Linked DNA regions of Callithrix jacchus. The protein of the gene in region 1 interacts with the protein of each later gene in a pairwise test. Links are inferred from orthologs where the notes say so. Each region holds a gene or a part of one and is shown in the gene's direction. Other genes may lie near its edges.

What was found.
Region 2: the proteins of CCDC136 (region 1) and RAB33A interact in binary tests that used the Homo sapiens proteins (3 or more experiments, as listed by UniProt). The two-hybrid records come from large-scale screens. The link is inferred for Callithrix jacchus from reciprocal best matches to the Homo sapiens genes CCDC136 and RAB33A.
Region 3: the proteins of CCDC136 (region 1) and HMG20B interact in binary tests that used the Homo sapiens proteins (3 or more experiments, as listed by UniProt). The two-hybrid records come from large-scale screens. The link is inferred for Callithrix jacchus from reciprocal best matches to the Homo sapiens genes CCDC136 and HMG20B.
Region 4: the proteins of CCDC136 (region 1) and LENG1 interact in binary tests that used the Homo sapiens proteins (3 or more experiments, as listed by UniProt). The two-hybrid records come from large-scale screens. The link is inferred for Callithrix jacchus from reciprocal best matches to the Homo sapiens genes CCDC136 and LENG1.
Region 5: the proteins of CCDC136 (region 1) and PDLIM5 interact in binary tests that used the Homo sapiens proteins (3 or more experiments, as listed by UniProt). The two-hybrid records come from large-scale screens. The link is inferred for Callithrix jacchus from reciprocal best matches to the Homo sapiens genes CCDC136 and PDLIM5.
Region 6: the proteins of CCDC136 (region 1) and HDAC4 interact in binary tests that used the Homo sapiens proteins (3 or more experiments, as listed by UniProt). The two-hybrid records come from large-scale screens. The link is inferred for Callithrix jacchus from reciprocal best matches to the Homo sapiens genes CCDC136 and HDAC4.
Region 7: the proteins of CCDC136 (region 1) and ASB7 interact in binary tests that used the Homo sapiens proteins (3 or more experiments, as listed by UniProt). The two-hybrid records come from large-scale screens. The link is inferred for Callithrix jacchus from reciprocal best matches to the Homo sapiens genes CCDC136 and ASB7.

The regions. Positions count from the first base shown.
Region 1 is NC_133512.1:118,369,040-118,372,539, reverse strand, and holds part of CCDC136 (coiled-coil domain-containing protein 136), read left to right. Parts: intron 1-555; coding exon 556-1,068; intron 1,069-1,466; coding exon 1,467-1,688; intron 1,689-3,094; coding exon 3,095-3,373; intron 3,374-3,500. UniProt on the Homo sapiens protein: May play a role in acrosome formation in spermatogenesis and in fertilization.
Region 2 is NC_133524.1:125,837,775-125,841,860, forward strand, and holds the start of RAB33A (ras-related protein Rab-33A), read left to right. Parts: upstream 1-1,286; 5' UTR 1,287-1,387; coding exon 1,388-1,645; intron 1,646-4,086.
Region 3 is NC_133523.1:3,337,029-3,340,954, forward strand, and holds the start of HMG20B (SWI/SNF-related matrix-associated actin-dependent regulator of chromatin subfamily E member 1-related), read left to right. Parts: upstream 1-1,126; 5' UTR 1,127-1,177; intron 1,178-1,453; exon of another isoform or gene 1,454-1,470; 5' UTR 1,471-1,488; coding exon 1,489-1,526; intron 1,527-1,870; coding exon 1,871-1,979; intron 1,980-2,550; coding exon 2,551-2,754; intron 2,755-3,708; coding exon 3,709-3,829; intron 3,830-3,926. UniProt on the Homo sapiens protein: Required for correct progression through G2 phase of the cell cycle and entry into mitosis. Required for RCOR1/CoREST mediated repression of neuronal specific gene promoters.
Region 4 is NC_133523.1:47,340,471-47,344,648, reverse strand, and holds the start of LENG1 (leukocyte receptor cluster member 1), read left to right. Parts: upstream 1-1,378; 5' UTR 1,379-1,401; coding exon 1,402-1,533; intron 1,534-2,580; coding exon 2,581-2,760; intron 2,761-3,671; coding exon 3,672-3,934; intron 3,935-4,178. Other genes in the region: voltage-gated chloride channel TMC4, read left to right, coding at 1-50, 147-302, 559-637, 732-800.
Region 5 is NC_133504.1:102,891,378-102,894,877, reverse strand, and holds the end of PDLIM5 (PDZ and LIM domain protein 5), read left to right. Parts: intron 1-1,748; coding exon 1,749-1,864; intron 1,865-3,313; coding exon 3,314-3,403; 3' UTR 3,404-3,446; downstream 3,447-3,500. UniProt on the Homo sapiens protein: May play an important role in the heart development by scaffolding PKC to the Z-disk region. May play a role in the regulation of cardiomyocyte expansion. Isoforms lacking the LIM domains may negatively modulate the scaffolding activity of isoform 1.
Region 6 is NC_133507.1:160,370,064-160,373,081, reverse strand, and holds the end of HDAC4 (histone deacetylase 4), read left to right. Parts: intron 1-711; coding exon 712-853; intron 854-1,259; coding exon 1,260-1,299; 3' UTR 1,300-2,518; downstream 2,519-3,018. UniProt on the Homo sapiens protein: Responsible for the deacetylation of lysine residues on the N-terminal part of the core histones (H2A, H2B, H3 and H4).
Region 7 is NC_133507.1:9,369,518-9,373,699, reverse strand, and holds the start of ASB7 (ankyrin repeat and SOCS box protein 7), read left to right. Parts: upstream 1-1,382; 5' UTR 1,383-1,824; intron 1,825-1,998; 5' UTR 1,999-2,097; intron 2,098-4,182. UniProt on the Homo sapiens protein: Probable substrate-recognition component of a SCF-like ECS (Elongin-Cullin-SOCS-box protein) E3 ubiquitin-protein ligase complex which mediates the ubiquitination and subsequent proteasomal degradation of target proteins.

The DNA.
Region 1 (3,500 bases):
TAGCTGATCAGATCTCATCCTGGACATCAGCAGCCAAGAAGCCAGGCCTAGAGGGCCTGGGAAACATGCCCAGAGGCCAGATTCAGAATTGGGGCAGGAGATACAGGAACTAATAGTAAGATCTTGCTTACAGTTCTTCATATTGCTGCATTCAAGGCTGGGGCTGATTTTAGAACTAGGGGTGGGGGAGGGGACTGAGCCTGAAGGCCAGGACAACGGGTATACCTGACTGAGAAGAGGATGTGGTAGGGAGCCAGGGTGTTCTGGAAACCCACTGCTCCAAGGAGACAGGGATATAACAGAGTGCAGAAACCAGCCAAAATGGGAGCCCAGAAATCATGGAGTATCTGCCTTGGGGAGATTTTCCCAAATGAGTAAGAAACTGACACATGCCAGTTACCTGTAGGCTAAGTGAAAGACATAGGCTGGTGTGAGGCTGAAATGTAGGTGTGCCATTCACTAAGATGTGCTCTCAGACACCTGCACCAGGAAAGGTGCAGCTGAAAGGACTGAAATGTCAGAGTAATGATAATGTCTCCCCACCCCTGCCCCCAGCAATCCAAATTGCTTATGGAGCAGATGCAGACCCTGCAGGTGCTGTATGAAGCCAGTCAGGCGGAGCAGGAGCTCTTGCAGCAAGAGCAACGGAGGCTCCTAGAGGAGCGGAAGAGGCTGCAGACGGACTTGCAGCTCTGCCTCGAAGAAATGCAACTGCTTCAAGTCCAGTCCCCTTCTATAAAAATGAGCCTTGAGTCCTACAGAAAGAGCTATGGTAGCAGCATGCCCCCCAGCAATGAGAACTGTCACGATAGCCATAGCACAATTGATGACAATGAGAGCTATTGCAAGAGTTATACCAGCACCCAGACCAGAGACGAGAGCCTCCTCAAGAGCTATGACAGCAGCACCAGTGCCAGTGAGACCTATGAAAAGAGTTATTGCACCACCAGCAACAGCAGCATTACCTATGAGAAGAGTTACGGCAGCACCAGTAGCTTTGACACCTTTCACAAGAGTTCTGTCAGCAGCTGCACTGACGATGAACCTGCTGAGCCTGAAGACACAGAGGTAACAGTCGCCAGGTGACAGGTCAGGCAGAGGACGATGGACTCTTGTCTTTTTAAGAGATACATTGCCGGGGGAAGAGACAAGAAGTGTGGGAATGGGGTCAGAGCTGATGTGGGGAACTACCGGAAGTAAGCAAAGCCCTCTACCCATGGCAGCCTGGCCTCCCCCTCAGCCCTCTCATAGAGAGATGCCCCCATCTGAACAGAGGCCCATTTATCCCCATAAAGAGCACCACCACAGTCACGGTGCTCTTTATGGGGATAAATACAGTATTCCTCCCGGGCAGCTCCAGATCCTGATGGCCATTGTTTGTTATCCAGAGAAGGGTCCAGCAGAGTTGGGTGGAGCTTAGGTGCTCCTGGGGTGCTATTGTTGCTCACCCCCCCGCCCCCCCACAGCACTTTGAGGAAATGGTTGCGAAGGTGCTGATCAAGCTGCAGGCAGTGCAGGCCATGTACCAGATAAGCCAGGAGGAGCACAGCCAGCTGCAAGAGCAGATGGAAAAGTTACTGGCCAAGCAGAAAGACCTGAAGGAAGAGATGGATGCCTGTGAAAAGGAGTTTAAGGAGTGCATGGAAGGCCTTGAAAAGCCTGTGGCCCCCCAGAACGACCAGAATGAGGTAACTGCTGTCAGGGAGGCAGGGTTTCCTCTGGGAGCCCCTGGAGCCAGAGGAGTCATGGCCACTTCAGAGAGGCTACAGAGAGAGGGACAAAGCAGGGAGAGCATGCGGCTCAGAGGCTGGGCAGTCTTCTGCATCCCTGCTGACATTTCCTAGTGCTCATGGAGCTGGGGTTTACTAGTTTAGTCATCAGGATCCTCTCATCAATGATTTCTCTCTTTCTCCCTTTGCCACTCCTGCTCTCTCTTTTGCTTTGTGTTCTAGACCACTTCTGTAGAAGTATATTTTTGAACTTGCCAATCTTTCATCACTGTGTGTGCATTTGCCATGTCTCCCGGTGTACCAACTAGGAGCACCAACTAGACTGTAAGCAGCTCAAGGACAGGGACATGTCTCCTTTTGGATCTCTCACAGTGCCAAGATGTCCCATTCCTAGAAACGGGACAGAAGCCTTGTCTCTGGCCAGGGGCTCACAGTCCAGTGGGAGTCTCTTTGTATACACATGGGAGAGATTCGGAGAGCAGCGAACACATGGGTCCAGACTGGCTAGTATTGGTACCTATGGAGAGAATGGTGACGTGTTGCCATCAGCCAGGGAAGACAAAACCCGAGATGAGGGAGCAGGGTGTGACTTGCCTCTGTTTCCAGGGTGAGGTGCAGGAGCCCAGTACCCACTTCAGGAGTGTACAACACAGTTCTTTACGTTGTTCCTGTTAGCGAGATGGGTTGGATGAAGTAGGAGTTCTTGTAAAAAGAATTCTATAAGAAATCCCTGAGGTTCAGAATTGATAGCAGCCCTATCGTTATTCCCCAGTCACAGTAAAAAAAACACAATTTAAATAGTTTTTTTGACCTTTTTTTTTTTTTTGAGATGGAGTTTCACTCTTGTGGCCCAAGCTGGAGTGCAATGGCACAATCTCAGCTCACTGCAACCTCCATCTCCCAGACTCAAGCGATTCTCCTGTCTCAGCCTTCCGAGTAGCTGGGATTATAGGAGCCTGCCACCACACCCAGCTAATTTTTTTTGTATTTTTAGTAGAAACAGGGTTTCACTATGTTGGCCAGGCTCTCTCAAATTCCTGACCACAAACGATTTGCCCACCTCAGCCTCCAAAAGTCCTGGGATTACACTGGGTGGCAAGTGAGCCACCACGCCCGGCTGTTTTTTTGATCTTATTAGATATAAATCGTCAGGTGCCTCAAGTTAGAGAGAAGCTATCTGTAAAACTATTTGAGAGGCTTATTTTCCACAGTGGGATATTTTCTTCGTTGTCTACTCCCTATGACTTTAGCAGGGAGATTTCTGAGGCAGTGACCCCCTAAGCAGGACCGAGGTTGGTTGCGTGGGCAGCTAACTGGTTATATAACCCCCCAGCTCTGGATAACTGGCCCTCCACTACCAACAGATCAAAGACCTGCAGACCAAGCTGCGGGAGCTGCAGCTGCAATACCAGGCTAGCATGGATGAGCAGGGGCGGCTTCTGGCAGTGCAGGAGCAGCTGGAGGGGCAGCTGCAGTGCTGCCAGGAGGAGCTCCGCCAGCTCAGGGAGAAGAGACCCTCCACTTTCAAAGCCCAGGGGAAGAATGCTAATAAGAACATGAACAAGAATGCCAATGGGGTTAAAACTAAAAAGGTGACCAAGCTGTGCTCAGATACTTCCAAGAGTGACTTTGAGACCAGAAAGGTGAGTAGTAGCCTTAGTAGCTAGATAAGCAGAAAGGAGGAGGAGATCCTGGGAAGAAGCATCATCTCCTCTGCCCTTTCAACCAGGCAAGGGATTTGTAGAGAAGCTTCTGGGATCTCTGAAGTGT
Region 2 (4,086 bases), on another chromosome or scaffold:
AGCAGCCCCCTAATACTGCAAAGAAGTTGTGTTCATTTATCATCTTCCAAGCATAATCTAGGCTTCTGGCAAATTAGACCCAACCACTTTGTTCTACATTCAGCTGCAGGGGAGTGAACCCTCCTACGGATTCCCAACTCCCTCTGAAACTCCACCCTTCTGGAGGGCTTGGGAATGGAAAGCACTGTGGAGCTAATGCCATGTCCAAAGACCCTCCACCTGAGCCAGTAACTGTTAGCCCCAGAAACAAAGTCCCCTTTTGCTGGAACTGCCACCACTAGCTTCCCCCCTTCTCTTAGCCTCTGTGTGGCCCTCTCCGGCCGAGGGCCTTCCCCATTGGCCAGCCAAACACAACCGACTGCGGCAGCCAATAGGAGCCGCTCTCCTGAACATTCAGAGGATGGGTGCTCGTGGTGTGATAAGGGGAGGTTGGCGCCTGGTACGCGCCCCCCTACATCTGGCAAGTCCGTGGCAGAAACAGTAACATCCCCTACACACGCACACGCGCGCCCGCTGGCTCCCTCCTCTCAGCTGTGCAGGCCCCCGACAATCCGCTGCGTGTCTTGGCAGCACCCTCCCAGGCTGCCTGGGGCCTGCGAGTGCACCTGCTCACTCAATAAGACAGAGCATCCCTTTATCCCTAGGCGCGGGTGGGGTAGGGGTGGGGGTAGAGGGGACGGGGTAACGGGGACTGGGAAGGCTCCACTCAGCTGTCCGCTGCTCCCGAGGTGAAAGAGGTGCCCCCGCCCCCACCCCGCCCTCGCGTTGCTCCAGCAAGGTCGAAGTGATCCAGTGATGCCTTAGGGTGCAGCTCTTTGTCCTTCCCAACTGCGCTCCCTGCCCGCTGACCCCATGCGCTCTGAGCCAGTGGGGGCAGGGAGCCCGAAACTTATAAATGGGGGCAGGAAGAAAGAAGTCTATCCCGGGGTGGCGTGTGCCACCGTCCCCACCCCCTCCCTTTCCTCCTGAGGCTTCTTCCCTCCGGTCCATCCCTAGGGTGCAAGCAGGGGACAGTGTGGACCGACGCGCGGCGGCGGCTGGAGCAGCGCCGTAGGGTCCTTCGCCCAAAGCATCCGGTCCGAGGGTACACACAGGCAGAAGGCTCGCAGCTCGTCCACTCTCCTCCCTCTTTCCTCCTCTCCCTAGCTTTTGTGTTGGTGCCTCCGAGCTGCAAGAAGGGTGTGCTGGAAGAGGAGGAGGGGGGCCGGGGTGAGAGGCACCCCCTTCACGCGCGCGCGCACACGGTGCAGGCGCACGCTCACACGGGCGGACACACACGCGCGCACACACACGCACAGAGCTCGCTCGCCTCGAGCGCACGAACGTGGACGTTCTCTTTGTGTGGAGCCCTCGAGGGGGTTTGGGGCCCCGGTCCGGTCCGGGGGAGATGGCGCAGCCCATCCTGGGCCATGGGAGCCTGCAGCCCACCTCAGCCGCCGGCCTGGCATCCCTGGAGCTCGACTCGTCGCTGGACCAGTACGTGCAGATTCGCATCTTCAAAATCATCGTGATTGGGGACTCCAACGTGGGCAAGACCTGCCTGACCTTCCGCTTCTGCGGGGGTACCTTCCCAGACAAGACTGAAGCCACCATCGGCGTGGACTTCAGGGAGAAGACAGTGGAAATCGAGGGCGAGAAGATCAAGGTGATCCAGAGGGTCAGGTCCGGGAAGGGAGGGACCTAGGAGGGGACCTCGCCCGAGGCATAGCTCTAGCCCGGCGTCCGGCTTGTGGCGGTTTCGCCTCTTGCTGAGCCAAAGACCCTCAGCCCCTTCTCAACCCTTTCACCTCTCTCAGTGGGGCCCCATCCCCACCTCACTCAATTTTTTAGGGAGGGCGAGAATGGTGACATTCTTACCCTTTGCCCCTGCCTGACAGGTCCTGCCAGGAAAATGCATGTTGGATCCATCCTCGACCCCTAGCCAGAGCAGCGGCACCTGTGGGCAGAGGGAGGCAGGAGGCATCTCTGGGTCCTAGTCTGTGGGATGGATCCCAAAGCACTTTACACATCCTGAGGTCTCTTCTACCTCTTGGGTGCCGATAGGCTGCAAAACGCCACTTTGGCTAAGCCTCAAGGCATTAGAGGGCAGGGAAGGATGGAAATTCATGGAGAATGAAAAAGCTGTTTCATTTTAAATTGCAGGTGAAAGTTAAGATTAGGACTGAATTGAGATGGGGTGGAGTGGAGTGGCTCTGGCAGATAGCATTGAGCCCTTTTGAAGAAATTGAGGCAGGGTTATCAGCCAGCCCTTTGTAATTGACAAAACTTGTTTGTTTGGAACAGGGCCCCTGGAGCGGTATCTTCTTTACTTGTCTGGGGTATCTAATAGAAGAACTGCTCCTTATTCATTCTGTTGGTATTGTCTTCGGAAGGTCTTTGTAAAAATGCAGAGTGACTTAACCGGGGGCTCAGGGAAATGCTCAATCCTCCCCCTCCATAAGTCTATGTAATAGGCGAAGTGCAAATATTCTTGTCTGACCATTTGTGCTCACCTTTCATTCAGAAAAGGTAGAAACCTGAGATGACAGGAATATGTCAGTGTGCAGGAGATGGCGGGAGGGAAGACATAACAAGGGCAACTTGGTGTGTCAGGGAGCAGAGGGGGCCTTTATAAAGGCACTGGGATCACTGAAGACAACTCTAGGCTCACAGCTGGTCTTTCCTTGAGCCTGTGGTTGAACCCTATGCAGAGTCAGGGTGACAGTAAGCCACCTTCTTGCTGGTCAAATGGCCACAGTGACCATAAGACCCCTCTTCTGAGTGACATGGAGAGAAGAGCTGAGTGACTGATGAAACACTTGAAACTGTGTAAGAGTCCTGACTCCTTGATTATTAAAATAAATGTGTTCTAAAATTGGCTTCAGAAACTGGGCCAGCGCACTAGATGTCAGGAAGATGGACAGCTCAGTGCTGATAAGGGAGAGCCTCAGGGTCAGGAAGATAGAACATTATTTTGAAATTGTGATCTTTTTGGCCCCTTGCATTTTGGAGGGGAATTGCTACATTTCCTTTTAAAGTCAAAGGTGATATCTGCCTCTGTCCTTTCCTGGGGCTGTTATGTTGACATTTGCTTGGTTAGGACTTCCCCTAGTGTGTCTAGCTTCTTTAATGTAAGGCTATATGATTCTAGAATTTCTAAAACATGCCTTTGTAATCCAAAGTAGAAATATCTTTACGGATGGGCTCTTAAACCCTCAAAAACCTTAACGTTTAATGCTCTTCTTTGCTTAAAATCAAGTGTTACAATGAGCTAAAGAGTTCCCTGGATTTAAAAGGTGGGAAATAAGTCCATCTAAAATTTAGATGGAGAAAAAGGAGGTATTTGGGGATCTAAAGGAGGGAAGAGGAAGCTAGAAAGTGAGGAATGGGAGATGAATACGAGTGGAAGAGTCACCATCCAGTGGCCTTGGGGGAATTTTTAAACCATTTATTCTCTTCCAACACCCCAGTACTTAACCAAACTGGATTTTATAGTCTCTGCCAAAGATTCCGGACTTTTTCCCAGAGGGCAGAGCCTGTGACAGTGTGACTCACAAGAAACAGAACTCAGCACAACACCACGTGCAGATAAGTGCTTAATAAAGGCTTTTTTTGGGAAGACGATATTTTCAAGAGGACAAAGCCTTGTGACACTGGTCATGGAGGAGTCCTGTGAGGGCAGATTCCGAAGGAACTCAGAGTGGCACGTGGGAGTGGGGAGACGGAGACCCTGCCTCTTGTAAATCTGCTGCAATCGCAGGGCCAGAGCTGGCAGGCGAGAGACCAGCATGTCTGTGGGAAGGCGGCAGAGCCTGGCAGCTAGCACGTGATCTAGATAGGAAAAGATTTGGCCTCACACTCTGGCTAGCCTGAAGTTGTTCAAGGAATACGTGCCAAAGCCATGCTTGGAGATAACTGCCAAAGGCTCCCTTTGGGAGAGAGAGAAAAATCCAATGCGACAGTCTGAGGTCACCCTAGACCACGGTCAGTAATAGAAGGCTGTTGGGCCGTAACATACCAGCCCTTGCAGGACAGTGGTAGAGAGGTCTCAGCCAGCTCTTCTCAGTCCAACAGCAAGGGTGTGGTCTCTTCTGGGCAGCCTCCCTG
Region 3 (3,926 bases), on another chromosome or scaffold:
AGTGGATCACGAGGTCAAGAGATCGAGACCATCCCGGTCAACATGGTGAAACCCCGTCTCTACTAAAAATACAAAAAATTAGCTGGGCATGGTGGTGCGTGCCTGTAATCCCAGCTACTCGGGAGGCTGAGGCAGGAGAATTGCCTGAACCCAGGAGGCGGAGGTTGCGGTGAGCCGAGATCGCGCCATTGCACTCCAGCCTGGGTGACAAGAGCGAAACTCCGTCTCAAAAAAAAAAAAAAAAAAAGAGGAAGAGGAAGGCAGGGACATGACGTGGGCAGGTGGTGTAGGGTCTAGGGGGCTGAGGTCTGCAGCCAGTGACCTCAGGAGCAGAGGCAGCCTCACCTAGGGCCAGAAGACTAGGCTCCTGCTGGGAGGTCTCCGATCCCCTAGCGGGGAGCCTCCCACCCCCATCCTCACGAGGCCCTTGCAACCTCCCTTCACCATCTTTCCCAAAACACTTCCAGCCCAGCTCCCGACCCCACCCCCCGTTCTCGGCCTCGCAGCATCCTGCGATGTTCCCGTAGCACGGGAGGGGAAGCCGGGGTCCCAGAGAGCGAGCAGCCCCTGCGGCCAGAAGTCCCGGGATCAGGACGTCGCGGGCTCTAACCTGAGTAAATCAATAGGAAACTTCCCAACTAGGTTTTGCAGGAAGCTAAGAACACAACCCACCAGGCCCCAGGGCTGGGGGCTGCCCCGCGGGACCTTAAGCCTAGCAACCCGCCTCCGTCCGTCCCCATGGCAACCGGGGCGTGGTCCGACCCGGATCCGCCGGTCGCCCCATCCGGCAGCGGCTGCGAGTCTCGCCTTCAGAGTCGGAGGAGTCCGCGCCGAGCCTACTGGCCCTTTAAGTGGCTCCGCCCGGCAAGTCGGCCACACGCTTCCGATTGGTCCCGAGCGCGGCCGAGCGCAGCCGAACTTGACGCACCGCCCGCCGCCTTCCCTACCAACCACCCACGCGGCTCAGCGGCCTCCCCAGCCAATCGCCAGCCAGCGCGCCGATCTGTATCTGCATGGCCACGCCCCAGGGGAAGACCGCACCCAATGGGACCGTTCGCCGAGGCCATCATTAGCATGCCAGGGGCGGGGCGGGGCGGCCGGCGGGGGCGGGGGACGGGCTGCGGGCGGTTGGTTGGAGCGTCGCGCAGTCGGGAGGTCCGGGAAAGTTTCTTAGGAGGTGAAAACAGCCGCGGAACTTCAGGCCCTGCGAGGGGGCGGGGGTGCGGGGGTCCCGGGGCCGGGCCGGGGTCTTTCCCGGGCTGGGGGGAAGCGACCTAGGCCTCCCGGGGGGCGATCGCCCAACAAAGGATTCTTGGGGCGCCCGCCCTCGAGGACTTCCCCGCCCCCGGATCCGGCCCCCCCAGCGCTTCGGGCCCGGCATCCCGGGGCTCCATCGCGGGGTACCCCAGTTCGTGGTCCGCCACCGGGCGACCCGGGCGCCTTTCACCTCCAGCCGCGTCCGTGTTCCAGGTCCGGCCCGGAGCGGCCATGTCCCACGGCCCCAAGCAGCCCGGCGCGGCCGCCGCGTGAGTCCGCCGACCCTCTCCCCACGCCCACGCCACCTTCCCGGCTGCAGCTCTAGCTCCAGAACCCCCGCCTCAGTCCCGCCGACCTGGGTCTTGACTGCCCGACCTGGGTCACGGGGCTTCTCCCTCCACCCGGTGCTGCACCCCCCACCTCGGCCTCCAGTCCCTCCCAGGAGCCCCGCTTGTCCCACCTTCCTCGGATCCTGACCCCATCAGACCCCGCCTCCTCGGGCTCACGCACCCTCGCTGCAGCCCCGCCGTCGGGGGTCTAAAAGCCCTGGGGTGGGCGTTGCGGGGAGGGGAGGTTCTAGGGACGAGGCTGACCCTGGTATCCTTGGCTCCAGGCCGACGGGCGGCAAGGCTCCGGGCCAGCATGGGGGCTTCGTGGTGGCTGTCAAGCAAGAGCGCGGCGAGGGTCCACGCGCCGGCGAGAAGGGGTCCCACGAGGAGGAGGTGAGAGTCCCTGCGCTGAGCTTGGGGAGGCCCCGGGCTCCCGCCCCAGCCTTGAAGCCCCGCCCCAAGCTAGATTTGAATTGCTTGTGGCTCCGCCCACAGCCCAGATTTTCCTCCGGAAGCTGAGACCCCGCCCCGTGCGAGCTGCCACGCCCCTGACAGATCCTCTGCCACTCTAAATCCAGGCTCCGCTCGCCGCCCAATGCCAGCTCTGCCCACGCTAAGGCCCCGCTGACTTCCACTCCTTGGGGGCGGCACCCTTTCCTATGGTCCTGTGGGCCCTTTCCATCAAGGAGCCACTCCCACCGAGAATAGGCCACGCCCACAACCTACCCCTGGGCTCAAACCTCGGCCCCTAGTCCCCTCAGATCCCCTCACCCCTGGCTCGGGACCCCTCTAATCCTCTGTGTCCTGACTCCTAACCCGGCCCTACCTCCATCTCTTCCGGGTTCTTCCTCCCAGCTAGGCCCCACCCCTATCCCCGCCCATGCACTAGGCCCCGCCCATGCCCCTCTGAGCCCCGCCCCAGGCCGTCAGGCCGCCCTCCCAACGACGCAGCCCGGTTCTGCAGCCGGTGAAGAAACGCGGCTGGCCCAAGGGTAAGAAGCGGAAGAAGATTCTGCCGAATGGGCCCAAGGCACCGGTCACCGGCTACGTGCGCTTCCTGAACGAGCGGCGCGAGCAGATCCGCACGCGCCACCCGGACCTGCCCTTTCCCGAGATCACCAAGATGCTGGGCGCCGAGTGGAGCAAGCTGCAGCCAACAGAGAAGCAGGTGGGGGGGCGGGTCCCCGAACAGTGCCGATGGGTCCACTGACCACCCCCCAGTAGCCCTGACCCCCAAAGGATTCCACGTGCAGGGTTTTTTTTTCCGGCCGGAGAAATGTCCACCCATGACCAGGTTTTTTTGGTGGGTTTTTTTTGTGGTTGTTTTGAGATGGAGTCTGGCTCTGCTGCCCAGGCTGGAGTGCAGTGGTGAGATATTTGTTCACCGCAATCTCCGACTCCCAGGTTTAAGCAATTGTCCTGTCTCAGCCTCCGGAGTAGCTGGGATTACAGGCACCTGCCACCATGCCCGGCTGATTTTTGTATTTTTAGTAGAAACAGCGTTTCTCCATGTTGGCCAAGCTGGTCTCGAACTTCTGACCTCCAGTGATCCAACAGCCTCCGCCTCCCAGAGTGTTGGGATTACAGGCGTGAGCCACCGAGCCCGGCCCGCAACCAGCTTTTGGGGGCGGGGCTAGCAAGAGGCCAGACAGATTGAAAACTGGAGGACCAACAAGGATATGTCTCAGAAGTTGGGTGTGGCCTGGAGTTTCTGTGAAACCTGATTTTCATATTCTGTTAATTTAAAAATTGCAAAAACGTTAAGAAAATATATCAAAGCCACCACCAATATGCACCCTTGTGAGATTTCAAAAAGAGAAACGGGTGTAGGAGGGAGTCCAGGCATTCGCATATCCTGGAGGTGGGTGCCTGCCCATGACTGGCATCTGGGAGGGGCTTGTCACGGCCGAACCAGTCAGGGGCATGGGAAGTGATGTGGGAGCTCGGAGGTCCCTGAGCAACAGGCTGAGGAGTTGGTTGTCTGTCTGAAGGGAATAGGGAGCTATCGAAGGTTCAGGAGAGGGGGAGGGCGCAGTGAAAGCTGAGTGATGGAGACTGGGTCCTGACGTTGGAGGCTTCCCCTGCCTCTGGGTGGGTCAAGTCTTCTGGTGCTGCCCTCCAGCGGTACCTGGATGAGGCGGAGAGAGAGAAGCAGCAGTACATGAGGGAGCTGCGGGCATACCAGCAGTCGGAAGCCTACAAGATGTGCACGGAGAAGATGCAGGAGAAGAAGATCAAGAAAGGTGGGAGAGGCCACGCACAACGGCTCACGCCTGTAATCCCAGCACTTCGGGAGGTCGAGGCAGGTGGATCACCTGAGGTCAAGAGCTCGAGACGAGT
Region 4 (4,178 bases), on another chromosome or scaffold:
CTCCTGGGTCTGGCCATCTCCAGCGTTCCTCTGCTTTACAGCATCTTCCTGTAAGTGCGAGAGGCTCCTGCCTCTTTCCCTCCCTCTCCCTGCGTTCAGCGTTCAGACTCCTGGCTCTACGTGAGCCCAGCCTATCTTGACTTCAGGATCCCACCTTCTAAGCTATGTGGTCCATTCCGGGGGCAGTCGTCCATCTGGGCCCAGATCCCTGAGTCTATTTCCAGCCTCCCTGAGACCGCCCAGAACTTCCTCTTCTTCCTGGGGACTCAGGCTTTTGCTGTACCCCTTCTGCTGATTTCCAGGTGAGTTTGCCCAGACTTCTGGGTCTGGGTTTGAATGCACGTGATCTGGGGGCCACCACCTGCGTCGGAGAGAGGAGAGGCTCGGGGTGGGAGGAGGCCTAGGGTCCAAAGGAGGAGGAGGAGGAGGGTGGGACTTAGGACTCCTGGGCTGGGAGACTGAAGTCCTTGTAGATGACATCCTGGCTTTGAAGGAGCCAGGGGTTTGTATAGAATGGAGGAGCGTGTCAGGAGTGGCTTCTGTTCGTGTCTCCTCCAGCATCCTGATGGCGTACACTGTGGCTCTGGCTAACTCCTACGGTCGTCTCATCTCTCAGCTCAAACGTCAGAGAGAGACGGTGAGCCAGGCGGGTCCCTGAGAGGGACCCCGTGGGGGACATTGAAAGGCATTGGGGGAGAGGGCTGTCTGACCTCCACCTCTCTTTGCCTCAGGAGGCGCAGAACAAAGTCTTCCTCGCACGGCGCGCTGTGGCGCTGAGCTCCACCCACCCGGCTTTTTGACCCCTGCAGCCCATGTCCCACCTTCAGACTCCAGGCCAATTGTAAGCCTAGGTCACATCTGTAAAACTAGGAGAACTAGAGAAGACCCCACGCTCTTCCAGCTCTAGGATCTGGAGGTTTCCAGAGACCCTCGCCGCCACGTCCCAGACTCTCGGGTGATCTTTCTTCTATGAATAAACACAGCCGAGGTGACTGAGCGCGCTTTGAAATCTGCGTCCTGAAGGTGGGGGCAGGGCTACATCAGGGCGGGAGCCAATCAAATGCATGGGAATGTGTGGCCGTTCGAAGTGCTCTTCCGCAAGGAGACTTGATGGTTGTGTTGGCCAATCGGCGGCCGAATCTGGCATTAGGGGAGGGCCAACTTGCGATTGGCTCGGATATGTGAAAAGCGGTTGCTAGGGGATACCACGCGCCAAAAGCCTGGCATTCGCTGAGATAAAGGGCGTCTTAGCCAATCACCTGTCGTTACAGGCCAGGGGGCCGTACCAATGAGTTAAGAACCAATCTGTGGTCGAAGTAGGGACAAGAGGGAAGGGGCATTCTCTCGCCAATCGGAAGTGCAGAGAGGCGGGCGTGCCAGTCCGTGGACTGCTACGACGCCATGAATATCTTGCCCAAGAAGAGCTGGCACGTCCGGAACAAGGACAATGTTGCCCGCGTGCGGCGTGACGAGGCCCAGGCCCGGGAGGAAGAGAAGGAGCGTGAGCGGAGGGTGCTGCTGGCTCAGCAGGAGGTAAGCCTGGGAACCGGCCGGGCGGAACTCCGGGGCCCAGCGCGCAGGCGCCATGGTAGGGGGCCGGAAGTGGACGCGTTGCGCAGGCGCCGTGTGCCCCGTATGTAATTCGTGACCCGGCGCGGACCTCTTTTCCGAAACGTTGCTCGGCAAACGTTGTGCCCACTTGCATGAAATCTCCCTTGATCGCCCCCTCGTCTTGTTTCCCCCCACTGATGTATTTCACATGGCTAGAGCAGTGTCTAGCACAAAAGAGAAGCATAAATGTTTACCGAATTCAGGATTCCTTGGACAGTTTGAGGAAATTCGGATCACTTTCTAGTTGGCTTGCACAGTCTATTTATTGAGCAGTTACTGTATGCTAACTGCATGCAGAACGCCTGACTTCCAGAATCCCCCTTAAGCACCGTTCTTTCTTAAAGAGGCATTGTCATCTCCGTGGCACGAAGTGAGATGGCGTCAAGGGAGGGGAAGTCTCCACCCCCTTGGGCGAGCCCTTTCCCTGCACCACCCCCAGACACACACACAAACATGGGCTTTATGTATAGCTCCTTAAATCTGTTTGGTGTACACCTAACTTTCAGTTCCTTAGCCAGTCTGATCCTCCACACTGGGAGGGAGGTAGTCTGGGTTTTTAGAATCTCAGTAGGCTGCTGAGAGCTTTGTCCTGAAGGTGGGAGACCGGGCTTCATCAATGGACTTGGGGTAATGACTTGGAGCCATGCCTGGAATCCAGATCATCTGACCTAATGCAGTTTGTTCTACCTTTATAGCTGTTTTAATTGTCTCACTTGAGGTTAGGAACCCCTTTGGTTTAGGCCAGGGACCTCCTCCCAGCCATCCTTGATGTGTGGTTTACTATTTGAAAGGCAGTTTACAAAACCCAGGTGTTGCCTTATCTGCCTACCCTCACCCCTGCTAGGACAGGTGCCCCCTTTCTTACAAACCCAGCACCCTGGACTGCTGTTTCCTGTGGTGCGCACCAGACTTAAAAGTTCTTGAATTACCTTTAGGTTTTTAATGTCTTGCCTGTAACTTTCTCCCCAGGCCCGTACAGAATTCCTACGGAAGAAAGCCAGACATCAGAACTCACTGCCTGAGCTTGAGGCAGCAGAGGTGGGAGCCCCAAGTTCTGGCCCTGTGGACCTGTTTCGAGAGCTGCTGGAGGAGGGGAAAGGCCTGATCAGAGGCAATAAAGAGCACGAGGAAGAAAAGCGACAGGAGAAAGTAAGCTGGCCTTATCTACTTCATCAGAGACATGAATGGAGCTGGGGGGAGGGACACTTTAGCCATTGGTTGTGACTAAGGCTAAACAAGAGTGAACACTCAGAATTTAGAACCATACCAAAGCACACTCAGAAGTGGTGGCTGTTGCCATTTGGGTGCCCTCAGGGCTTGGAGGTAGATGCTCGAGATCCCCAGCTGCTAGGTGAACTGCTCAGGTCTCCAAACTGGAGGGGTCTCAAACCTGATGAGCTTTTAAAAATCTAAATCAGCTTGGTGGTGGCTCATGCCTGTAATCCCAGCATTTTGGGAAACTGAGGTGGGCAGATCACCCGCGGTCAGGAGTTCAAGACCAGCCTGGTCAACATGGTATCTCTACTAAAAATACAAAAAAAGTTAGCTGAGCATGGTGGCATGCACCTTTAGTCCCAGAGGCTGAGGCAGGAGAATCGCTTGAACCCAGGAGGTGGAAGCTGCAGTGAGCTGAGATCGTGCCACAGCACTCTAGCCTGGGTGGCAAGAGTGAGACTCAATCTCAGGAAAAAAAAAAAAAAAAAAGTGAATCAATCACTTCTTGCCTTTTGGCTAAGATCGAGTGTAAAAGCTCCTGTTCCTCACCTGCTGTCTCTGGACTTGCTGACCCCACCCACGGGTCCTCTTGCTTTGCTTGCTCCCTGCAAAGATGCCTGCCTCTGAACATTCAGGCAGCTCCACCCCATCCCCTCCTTCCTCTGCTTTCTGTGACTGTCCCTGCTATCGTCACCCCAGGGCAGGAGCTTGGCCTCTGCTGGTCTCTTCCCTCCCCAGCACCTGGCACAGCTGCTTCACCATAGGCCTTAGATACCTGTGTCAGGGAGATAAACCTGACACCCTGAAAGATTATATCCCATCTCTTTTATTTCCTGACCCCTCAGGAGAGACAAGAGAAAGCTCTGGGCATCCTGACATACCTGGGCCAGAGTGCAGCCGAGGCCCAGACTCAACCCCCTTGGTACCAGCTCCCACCAGAGCGAGGGGGTCCCCCGCCTGGCCCAGCCCCAGATGAGAAAATAAAGAGCCGCCTGGACCCTCTGCGGGAGATGCAGAAGCATCTGGGGAAGAAGAGACGGCACAGCAGTGATGAAGGCAATCACAGCAGAAAGGAAAAGGATGGCTCTGAGACACAGCGACCCAAGGGGTGAGGAGGAGGACCCTGCCCTGGCAGAGCAGGACCCAGATCTTCAGGGCTTGGCAGCAGCCTGGCACAGGCACAGCAGGAGCTCTGGGTGGAACAGCCAGGGACCCCGTGAAGGGATGGCTGGGTGGAAAAGTGGTTCTCACCATGTGGTCCAGGGAGCCCTAGGGGTCCTGACTCCCTTTCCGGGGGGTGCCGTGGTGTCAAGCCTATTTTCCTAACACTGTTTGCCTTTCACACTCATTCT
Region 5 (3,500 bases), on another chromosome or scaffold:
AATGGTGCGAAGGAATACTAAAGATTGACGGTTGCTAAGAAAGGTGAATTGCATTGCAAATTATAGCCTGCTTTCCTCTTCAGCTGAGGTTGGACTGACAATGTCAAAGGCCAAAGGGTGAACCATGAGTCAACACAGTAGTGAGAGGAGCTGCTTAAAAGAAAATTAGGGCAACCAGCCTGGCCAACACGGTGAAACCCTGTCTCTACTAAAAATACAAAAATAATTAGCTAGGCATGGTGATGGGCTCCTCTCCTGTAGTCTCAGCTACTCGTGAGGGTGAGGCAGGAGAATCGCTTGAACCCGGGAGGCGGAGGTTGCTGTAAGCCAAGATCGCACTACTACTCTTCAGTCTGGGCAACAGAGCAAGACTCTGTCTAAAAAAAAAAAAAAAGAAAGAAAGAAAGAAAAGAAAGAAAATTAGGGCCAGATACAGTGACTCAAAGCCTTTAATCCCAGCTCTTCAGGAGGCTAAGGCAGGATTATCCCTTGAGGCTGTGAGTTCAAAACCAGCACAGGCAGCCTACCAATACCCTGTCTCTACATGAAAAAAATTTTTTAATTAGCTGGGCATGGTGATATGTGTCTGTAGGCTCAGCTACTCAGGAGATGGTGACAGGAGGATGGCTTGAGCCCAGGAGGTGGAAGATGCAGTGAATTATTATCACACCACTGCACTCCAGCCTGGGTGACAGAGTGAGACTCTCTAATGAAAAAAAAAAGAAAAAGGAAAGAAAATTCTAATTTGGTAAAACTAGAAAGCATCTTCTCAAAACTGCTTTCTTCAGAAGGAAATCCTGTTAGTATTCTTGTAACTGTAGTCTATGTCAAGTAAATGGTCTTTTCTGGGCAAGGGTTTTCAACATGAAGTTACAAAATTGAAAGGAAAATACAACAAAATAAATTGTGGCTAATATTGTTGTGATACAGTCTAGCTAGAAATTCAGTCATAGCACTTATTCATACAAGTTTCCTGCAACGTTTCTTTTTCTTTCTTGCCCAAGTCAGATACACTATGAAATTTGCCAATATCAGACATTTGTTCTTGGTCCCTGTCCATTAGTCTTACTGTTGCTAGTTATTAGTATTCCTTTGTATTTCTTTAGAACAGTTATTTCTACTGATAACTGGTCACAAAACAGTTCTTCTTTTTTTCCCCCTCCTGAGACAGAGTGTCATCCCGTCTCCCAGGCTGGAATGAAGTGGTGCAATCTTGGCTCGCTTCAGCCTCCCTCTGCTGGGTTCAAGCAATTCTTCTGCCTCAGTCTCCTCAGTAGCTGAGACTATAGGCATGTGCCACCATGCCCAGTTAATTTTTGTGTTTTTAGTAGAGACAGGGTTTCACCATATTTGCCTGGAAGCTCTTGATCTCTTTACCTCATGATCCACCTGCCTCAGCCTCCCAAAGTGCTGGGATTACAGGCGTGAGTCACTGCACCTGGCCAGAACAGTTCTTCTTTATACTTATTTAGGCAATTAAGTAGTTGGAGAGAAGCGAGAAGTATTACATGGAAAATTATAATCAAGAATGTTAGGTTGCATAAATAATATTTACCAAGGGAATCCTGAAACATGCTGAACATATCTTTCAAGCCAAACATTATGCCATCTCCTGAAATTTTTCAAATTCCTAATATCTTTATCTTTAGCATCTCATTTAATCCTGATTTTGTTGCTGCCTTCTAGGAACGATCATTCTACAACTTCATTGTGTTTAAATTATGTCTCTCTGCCCTGCCTCAATACAGATTATTATGCCCTCTTTGGTACTATATGCCATGGATGTGAATTTCCCATAGAAGCTGGTGACATGTTCCTGGAAGCTCTGGGCTACACCTGGCATGACACTTGCTTTGTATGCTCAGTAAGTAAAGTCTTACTTCCTACTTAAAGGGGAATAGTACGGCCAATTCTAGCTTTAGTATTTAATGGAAATATCAGCTCTCATATCTTTTAGTCCATTGAACCTAAAAAATATATATTTTTACTTTTTTGTAAATTTTAAAAGTTGTTTATTACATTTTTTGGCATTTTTTAAATTATTTGGCAAACAGTGAGATCCTTAGTCCTTAGAGAAAATATAATTTTAATATATTTTTGTCTATAAGAAGAAGCTATCTATTTCTTAAAACAGTAAGTTTCCTTTACTTAAAAAAAGTAGTTTTTGGAAATGTTAGGTACTTCTTAAAATACAAAGGAACAATTATCAAAATCTATTTTTGAATTAACACTAGGAATAAAGTATATGTTGATTCATTTCTTTTCTCAGCAGTAGCTTCTGGATATTCTTTTCTTTTTGAGACTATAGTCTAATAAACATGTAACAAAGTATTTGCCTATTCATTTGATATTTTAATATTTTTGGTTTTATGTTTAATGATTAGGATAGATTCAGAGATTAAAATATATAGTTTTTAAATGTAGGAAGTAAATATCCACTAAACATGCCTCTGTTCAGGTGTTTGATTTTTGAAAATTTGATTTAACATAGCTATAGTTTTCAATACCCATTGTACAAAGGGAACAAAAGTAATATTAATTGAAGCCTAATGATTTCCCCAAACATTACCATTGAACTCATGTTTACCTCATCCATCTCTTAGACTTCATAAAGTCTATAAAAAGCAAAAGTTTTAGCAGATTTACCTTTTCTTTAATAAAGCTCTTCATGAGAATTTTAATTAACAAAGGCAGCAGGAAGAACAGGAAGCTGTACATGTAGATAGTCAGCTGACTGTGTAATCCTGCAGCAGCCAGATGTTGACCTGGGTCTTTATGTAAGAAACTAACTAAAAAGAGGTCTCAGCTTGAACACAAGGCACCCCTTAAAAAAAAGTTCTCAGGTATTCTGTGTATTTGTGGGCAAGCTAATGTTGGGCTTGGGAAGGTTTGGTAAAGCAAATGAGTCATGTTTTGGTTCCCTACAACACTAAGCAAAATTAAGACATTGTTTAGAATTCAGGGAGATACAATATATTTAATGGGCCCTCTTTCTATATTAAATTTTTAGTTAGGAATAAATCTTCCCTCTGGATAAAGAAAAGTGATGCTCAGTGCTTTCTATAAAGTAGAATACATTCTAGGAAAAAGCCATATTTCATTGCTTTTGAAAGATTATATCTAATTGTCCTAGTAATTGTGAAATATTAGGGAGTCTAACATAACCAACTAAAGTGTTTTGTCGTATTATCCATTGGGGGAAAAATCACTTTCTCCTTCTCCAGCATACTTGATACAATCCTCTTAATATCCTCTTAAATAATGCATAATATCCTTTTAAATAATATCCTCTTAAATAATGCTTCTTTTTCAGGTGTGTTGTGAAAGTTTGGAAGGTCAGACCTTTTTCTCCAAGAAGGACAAGCCACTGTGTAAGAAACATGCTCATTCTGTGAATTTTTGAAAGTCAACAGTTCAGGAGAAGAGAAGAAATTTGAAGAGAAAAATGAAAATTAAAATTACTAATTAATTTTTAGATTCAATATTTATTTGGAGTTTTG
Region 6 (3,018 bases), on another chromosome or scaffold:
CAGGGTGTAGGCCCTCTGCGTTCCGGCACTGACCCTCAAGCAGAGGGTCCTGGCTGCAGGGGCATGGCACGCAGCCTATCTCAGAGGCACCTCCCACACCCTGTCATCACAAGCCCAGTTTGCCTTTGAGATGACCCAGAAGGTTGAGACTGTCCACACAAGCAGGTACAGTCCAGAGCTTGGCTCCCATTTCCCTGTGTGGGGGAGTCCTGGCCTCAGAGCCCTGAAGCTGACCCTGGGCCAGCCCAGCCCTCCTTGTACCTGGTGCAGTACCCCTCCACCCCCAGCCTCTGTGAGGGCCCAGGCAGAAGACCCCTCAGCCCCAGCAACAATCCCCCAGCTCACCTGCTCCATGAGATGGGAAGGCTCAGCCCAGCAGGTTGGGAGCCCCCACTCCTGGCCACCCAGGGCAGAAAGGGGCCCGTGAGCATGGAAAATCAGGCCCACCAGACCGTCCGTCTGCCGTCCTAGGCCGGCTTGCTCCTGGAGGGTCTCCAGCCACTCACGATGGGGAAATATTTCCAGAGATTCTTGGTCTTTGTGAGTTTGCAGCTATGCAGTTGCCTGCCTCGTGCCTCTTCGAAGAGGGCTGCTTCAAAAATCACAAGGGATCGATGTCGTTTGAGGCTCAGGGTCCTGCAGGAACGTCCCAGGCCACGGAGCCTCCTGCGGAGTTGCAGTCACTGAACACCTTTCCTCTCCCTGCCCCAGGCAAGTACTGGCGCTGCCTACAACGTGCAGCCTCCACGGCGGGGCGCTCTCTGATCGAGGCTCAGACCTGCGAGAACGACGAGGCCGAGACGGTCACCGCCATGGCCTCACTGTCAGTGGGCGTGAAGCCCGCCGAAAAGAGGTGAGCGCCTGCCCAGCTGCCCGCCTGCCCCACCGCCCGCCTGCCCCGCCGCACGCCTGCCCCACCGCCTACCTGCCCTGCCGCCCGCCTGCAGGCCCACCCAGCCCCACTGTGCCCAGTGACATACTCTGCAGGGTCAGAACCTTTATGGCACATGCCCTACCAAGCTGGCAGGGCAGGCCCTGGGAGAGGGATGCCCATCAGACTAGAAACAGGCCAGGTGGCCCCCTCCATCCAGTGCCAAAGCCCCTTAGAGACACATAAGGAGCAGTAGGCCCTGAACAGATGCCACCTGGGCTAGGCTGGCAGCTGGGGCAGCGCGCGGCCTTTAACCCACGTTCTGTTCTCTCTCTGCTGCGGGGCATGTGCCCCACGCCCCTGTCTCTTTCTCTTGCGGGATGCACAGACCAGACGAGGAGCCCATGGAAGAGGAGCCGCCCCTGTAGCGCCCCTCGAAGCTGCTGTTCTCTTGTCTGTCTGTCTGTCCTGAAGCTCAGCCAAGAAACTTTCCCGTGTCACGCCTGCGTCCCACCACGGGGCTCTCGGAGCACCCAGGGACACCTGGCGTGTGACAGCCATGGGAAGCCTTTCTGCCGCCTGGGCCCACAGGTTCGAGATGCACATGCACACCTGGGCGTGGCGGCCTCACAGGGAGCACGGGACAGATGCGGCTGACGCGCAGACACTCGGACACGCGCAAGCCAAGCACACTCTGGCGGGTCCCGCGAGGGACGCCGCGGTAGAAAGAAGCCTGCGGCGACGAGCGGCCGAGCCGCTGAATTCCGTTGACGCGAGGCACAGAAAATGAGCATCAGAGATCTGATAATGCAAAACAAACTTGACTAAAACAGGTGCTTAAAGTTTGATTATCACACGCAACTCCACAGTCTCTGTGTAAACCACTCGACTCATCTTGTAGCTTATTTTTTTTTTAAAAGAGAACGTTTTCTACGGCTGTGGCCTGCCGCTGTGAACCATAGCAGTGTGCAGTGGGGGGGTCTGCACCCAGGTGGGGGACAGAGTGACCTTTAAAGAAGACAAAACCGGACAGAATCAGGAGTGTGAGCCTGGGGAAGCTGGCTTGAGTTTCTCAAAGCCATCGGAAGATGCGAGTTTGTGCCTTTTTTTTATTGCTCTGGTGGATTTTTGTGGCTGGGTTTTCTGAAGTCTGAGGAACAATGCCTTAAGAAAAAATAAACAGCAGGAATTGGTGGGACAGTTTCCTGTGGCCAGCTAAGGCTGGCAGTGCTGGCCCCATGACCTGGCCTGAGCCCCAAGCTCGGGCACCGGCCATCATCTCCGGGGCCAGGGGCTGTAGCCCGCCGGGCCCCATTTTGCTTTATTGCTGTTTAAGGAAAATGGAGGTAGTTCCAAAAAAGTGGCAAATCCCGTTGGAGGTTTTGAAGTCCAACAAATTTTAGACGAATCCAAAGTGTTCTCTTGTCACACATCACATAGCGATTGAGCATCTCCATCTGGTCGTGAAGCATGTGGTAGGCACACTTGCAGTGCTCCGATCGGAATGCTTTTTATTAAAAGCAAGTAGCATGAAGTATTGCTTAAATTTTAGGTATAAATAAATATATATGTGTATAATATATATTCCAATGTATTCCAAGCTAAGAAACTTGATTCTTATGAAATCTTGATAAAATATTTATAATGCATTTCTAGAAAAAGTATATATATATATATACACACACATTTATATATATATATATATATATATATATATATATATATATAAAATGAATGCAGATTGCGAAGGTCCCTGTAAACGAATGACTTGTGAATTTGCTCTAAAGGTGCTTATGGAAAGGGATCCTGATTGAAATTCATGTATTTTCGAGCTCCAGATTGGCTAGAATTCAAATCGCCAACACATTCGCCACTGGGCAACTACCCGACAACTTTGTACTTTAATTTTAATTATTTTCTAACAGAACCCTTTCTGTCTCCAAGCCTTCATGCACATATGTACCTAATGAGTTTTTATAGCAAAGAGTATAAATTTGCTGTTGATTTTTGTATGAATTTTTCACAAAAAAGATCCTGAATAAGCATTGTTTTATGAATTTTACATTTTTCCTCACCGTTTAGCAATTTTCTGAATGGTAATAATGTCTAAATCTTTTTCCTTTCTGAATTATTGCTTGTACATTTTT
Region 7 (4,182 bases), on another chromosome or scaffold:
AAAACTTGGTAATTTATAAAGAAAAATAATTTATCGTCTACAGTATTGGAGGCTGGGAACTCTCAAGACTGACAGACCACACCTGGTGTCAGGAGGCAGCACTGCAAAGTATCGTGTGATCAGAGGCTGAGCAGGCTCATTATCAGGTCTCTCCTCATAAAGCCACCAGTTCTACCTCCATGATAATCCATTAATAGATGAATCCCCTCATGAAGACAGAACCCTCATGATCCAACCACCTCTTAAAGACTCTACCCCTCAGTACTGCCACACTGGGGATTACACGTGAGTTCGGAGGGAACAGATATTCACACCATAGCACTACCTATCTAATATGCTATAGCCCATCACGTCCTGGTCAAAATCGATCCCACCATTCTGCTTGATTTTCCTCATATAACCCATCCCTATCTCATAATTTTGTGTTTGTCTCCCCGGAAATCACGATCTTGTTCATTGTTGTCTCCTCAAGGAGTAGAACACGGGCCAGGAAAACACTTGCGAGATGAATAAATGCGCTTAATAAACGTGTCATGATCAGTCTATCTCGCATTTTCCCCACGCCCCCTCTCCATTCATTTTCAGGAACCCGCCAACGTTGCTATCCCTTCAGGGAAGCCCTTGGACCGGCGTCGCCATCCCAAAGAGAGTCCCTTCTCCCACTCTAGGCGAGGGATTCCCAGCCTGGAAGCTAACGGGGTCTCAGGGACAGACAGACGCGCCAAGGACCGGGCACTTGCGTCTGACAAGCGCTGAGCGGGAGCAGAGAAAGAGGCACCCCTCTCTTCGCTTCTTTGAGCCTGCCGCCCTCCCAACCTTAAGCCCTGGACCAGGCCCTCATTTGGCTGCACTCACGCCTCCCCGGCCGCCGAGCTCAGCGGCTGCTCCGGGTTACCTGCCTGGGATCTGGCTCAGACAAACTCTCTTCACACCGCCATTCGAGAGAACACACCAGCCCTCTCTGGGCCACCGTAGTTCACAGAAAGTACACGCTGATCCCTCCTCCCGCATGCGCAGAGACCGCGTTCGGCGTACAGTGTCTCTTAGCAACCGTTTTGAGTCCCTCGTCAGGGGCGGAGCCTCGGAAGCCACCACAGGGAGGCCGTGGGGGTAAGTGAATGGACCAATCGGAGACGAGCCTCAGTCCCGGTCGGCACGTCTCCCTTAACTGTCGCGAATGCAGGGGCAGCTTTACGGCAGGCAGAAGGTGGGGGCTGCTGGGGGTAAGGAGGAGAGAGGGAAGCAACCAACCAACTAAGTCGCCCCCACTCCCCCCACCCCCACCCACCCCGGACCTGGTTTACGGCTCCAGGCTCAGGATCCACTGCGGCCGCTGATTGGTTGCTGAAGGCTTGGTCCCATCCCAGTGACCCCAAAGTGCTGGAGGGAGGGGGCGGGGGTGGCCCAGTGCAAAGTGCATCCCGAAAGCCCCCTGTCCGGAGACCCCACGGCTGGCACTTCGGACCTCGTATGACCTAGGACCTTGCTGTCCCGAGACCTCCTGGGTCCTTCCGTAGCTGGAAGCCTCCGGCCCGGAGCGCGGCAGCCCTTAGTTCCGAGCCCTGGACCGGGACTGCCCCCCCCACCGGAGCCGGGACTTCCTCCCTGCCTCCCTACACCCCTGCCCCGAGGCTGCCCGGAGGCCGGGACCGCCACCTCCTGCCTGCTCGGCTGTTTGGATGCTCGCCGGGCTGGGGCCGTGAAGCACCGAGGAGGATCTGGAACACCAGGGTCCGGCCCTGCCTTGGGTATTTCTTCAATGGAGAAGTTGGTGAGTGTGGAGGAGGCTAAAAGGAGGAAGAGAAGCAGCAGCTGAGGAGACAGGTAAAGTCAGATACCTCCCCCAAGGGGAAGAGAGCTGGCTGGGAGGGAAGAAAATATCTGCTTTTTCTTGCCTGCCCTTGCCACTCTCCAGTCGCTTTCCTGAGCTCCCCCTTCTTCAGAGCCCCCTCCTCACCCCTGAGACACTGCACCACTTACTGGTTTCTGTTTTTCTAGGTTTGAGCTGGCTGAAGAAGACGCGAAAGCAGGAAGGGGTCTACCCACTTACCAGGGAAGCAGAAGGGACATTGCCTCTGATCAGCATCGTCTATATAGGTAATGAGCCAGCCTTCCCCTCCCCCATTGTTTATTCCTGGCCCCTACCTCATTAGGCAGTGCTTTATTTTCAGGGTGGTTGCCTGGGAATGCAACCTTTCCTAACCCAACCCCTCCCTCAGTTTCCCAGGAAAAGCAAAAACATTACTCGTGCCTGATCTTTAACATTTTATAACTAATCTGCCCCAGGAACGTATTTTCCCACTTTCTCTCTGTGCAGTGTTTCGGTGTTTTGCGTTGTCTTTTGGTACACTGTGCCATTTACTTTGCTCTGAGACTTTGAGACCTTTTTATAGCTACCCCCCTTCCTTACTCTCATAGGAATTCCTCAATTCTTTGTTAATTGCTTGTTAATTCTGAATGACTCTCCCTTTTAATTAAACCATAATTTACTGTTTCCCCCCCTTACTTTTTCCTATCACCTTTCTTCTACCTGCATCAGAAAAATCTTTTGAGTTAGGGAGTTGACAATGATTTGGTAGAGGAAGGTAAATTAATGGCTTGAGATTTATGAGTGTCAGAAAATTGATTTTATTTCCTGCTAAAAAGCGAACCTGTGTGCCTTAAGAGTGTGAATGGTATAAAGGCAACCTTATTACCCTGAAGCATTTAAGTGTAATTAACTCTTTTGGCTTTTTGTGTTTTTGTGTGTCACAAAGTGGCTGGGCTTTGAAACTTGTAAGTTACACCTCAGATTTTCTAGAAGAACTTTAAAAAGTTTACACAATATCTTATTGATCGTCTGACTCTCACGGATTTAAAAACAAAGGAACCTTTTGGTGTGTTTACATATCTGGCTCTTAATTTTAGCATTCTATAAGAAAAGATTTCTCATTTCAAAACCCTTACATAGAGTTTGCTAGGTTGAAGTTTAAGCATCTAATTCATGTGATCACATTTCTGCTGCCATATTTTGTTGCTGCTTCTGAAAATGCACTGAAGGTAAGCTTAGGACATTAGTGTAATTCCTAAAGAGGGAATATAAGCGTGGAAATTATACAAAGTTTAACTCCAAAATTAGCCAAATGAATGACTTTTCTAACATCCAGTAGCAAAAGTATAAAGTGATGTGTTAATCTATTTTAATATCCCAGATTGTTTAGGGAATTTTTGTTACAGGGAAGTACTTAAAATAGCAGAAATGAATATTTTTGTTTTCCTATGTTCCTCTGGACTTTCTGCCCTCCACAAAAAGAAATTAGTATCTTTACTGATTTTGTTAATTCTCAAGACATAGCTAAAGATGCTTTTAAGGGGATCTGAGGTATACGTATTCTTGAGACAGGGAACTGGATGCCAAAAGAAGAGATTCTACAGAACAGGATTTAGAATCAATATGTACCAGTTACCGTTCCCTGGTGAAAACTTAGGGCAGCCTTTGTATGTGTATGTAGGGAATCGGGAGTACTTGACTACATCATTTCAGTAAAAGCTAGGCAGAAACCTTTAAAGGCTAATTTTATTATGTAAGTATGGAAGTTGCCAGGGAGATGGCCTAATGATTACTTCAGAACTTCTAAAAAATGCTAAAATATTTGAAGTATGTTTTAAAGATAAAAAATCAAGTACTGTGTTTTGTATTCAAGCCTCTCAGTTAAATATTTTTTTCTGCTTTAGATTTAACTCTAGGATGGTTTCATTTTTAAGGGGTGGTTTCACCTGAGATGGTAAGGGAGGGAGTCTGTGGCTAGTCCAGCATATAAGGTAAGAGAGGATGAGGCTTTACCCTGGCTCTCAGCCAGTTCATTCTCGTTGCTTAAATGGTATTTCGTGGATCATCTCATCTTTTAATGGTTTTTCTAAAATGAGAGAATATATATAAATCATCAGCATCTGTAATGTTTCTAATATTAGAATGATTGAGAGTGTTTGTTCTAGATTATGCCAGACATTTACAATATTGAATTTGGGTATTTACCAACACGACTAGTTAGGTAGCTTACATTTTTTAATCTGGCAGTTAGCTTTTGTTGATTCTGTTGCCAATTATGTGGTTTAAAAAGAAAATCCAATTTATTTGGTCACCAAATACAGATTTATAATCACGTAGGGAGAATAATTGATTTTAATTGAAGATATTCAATG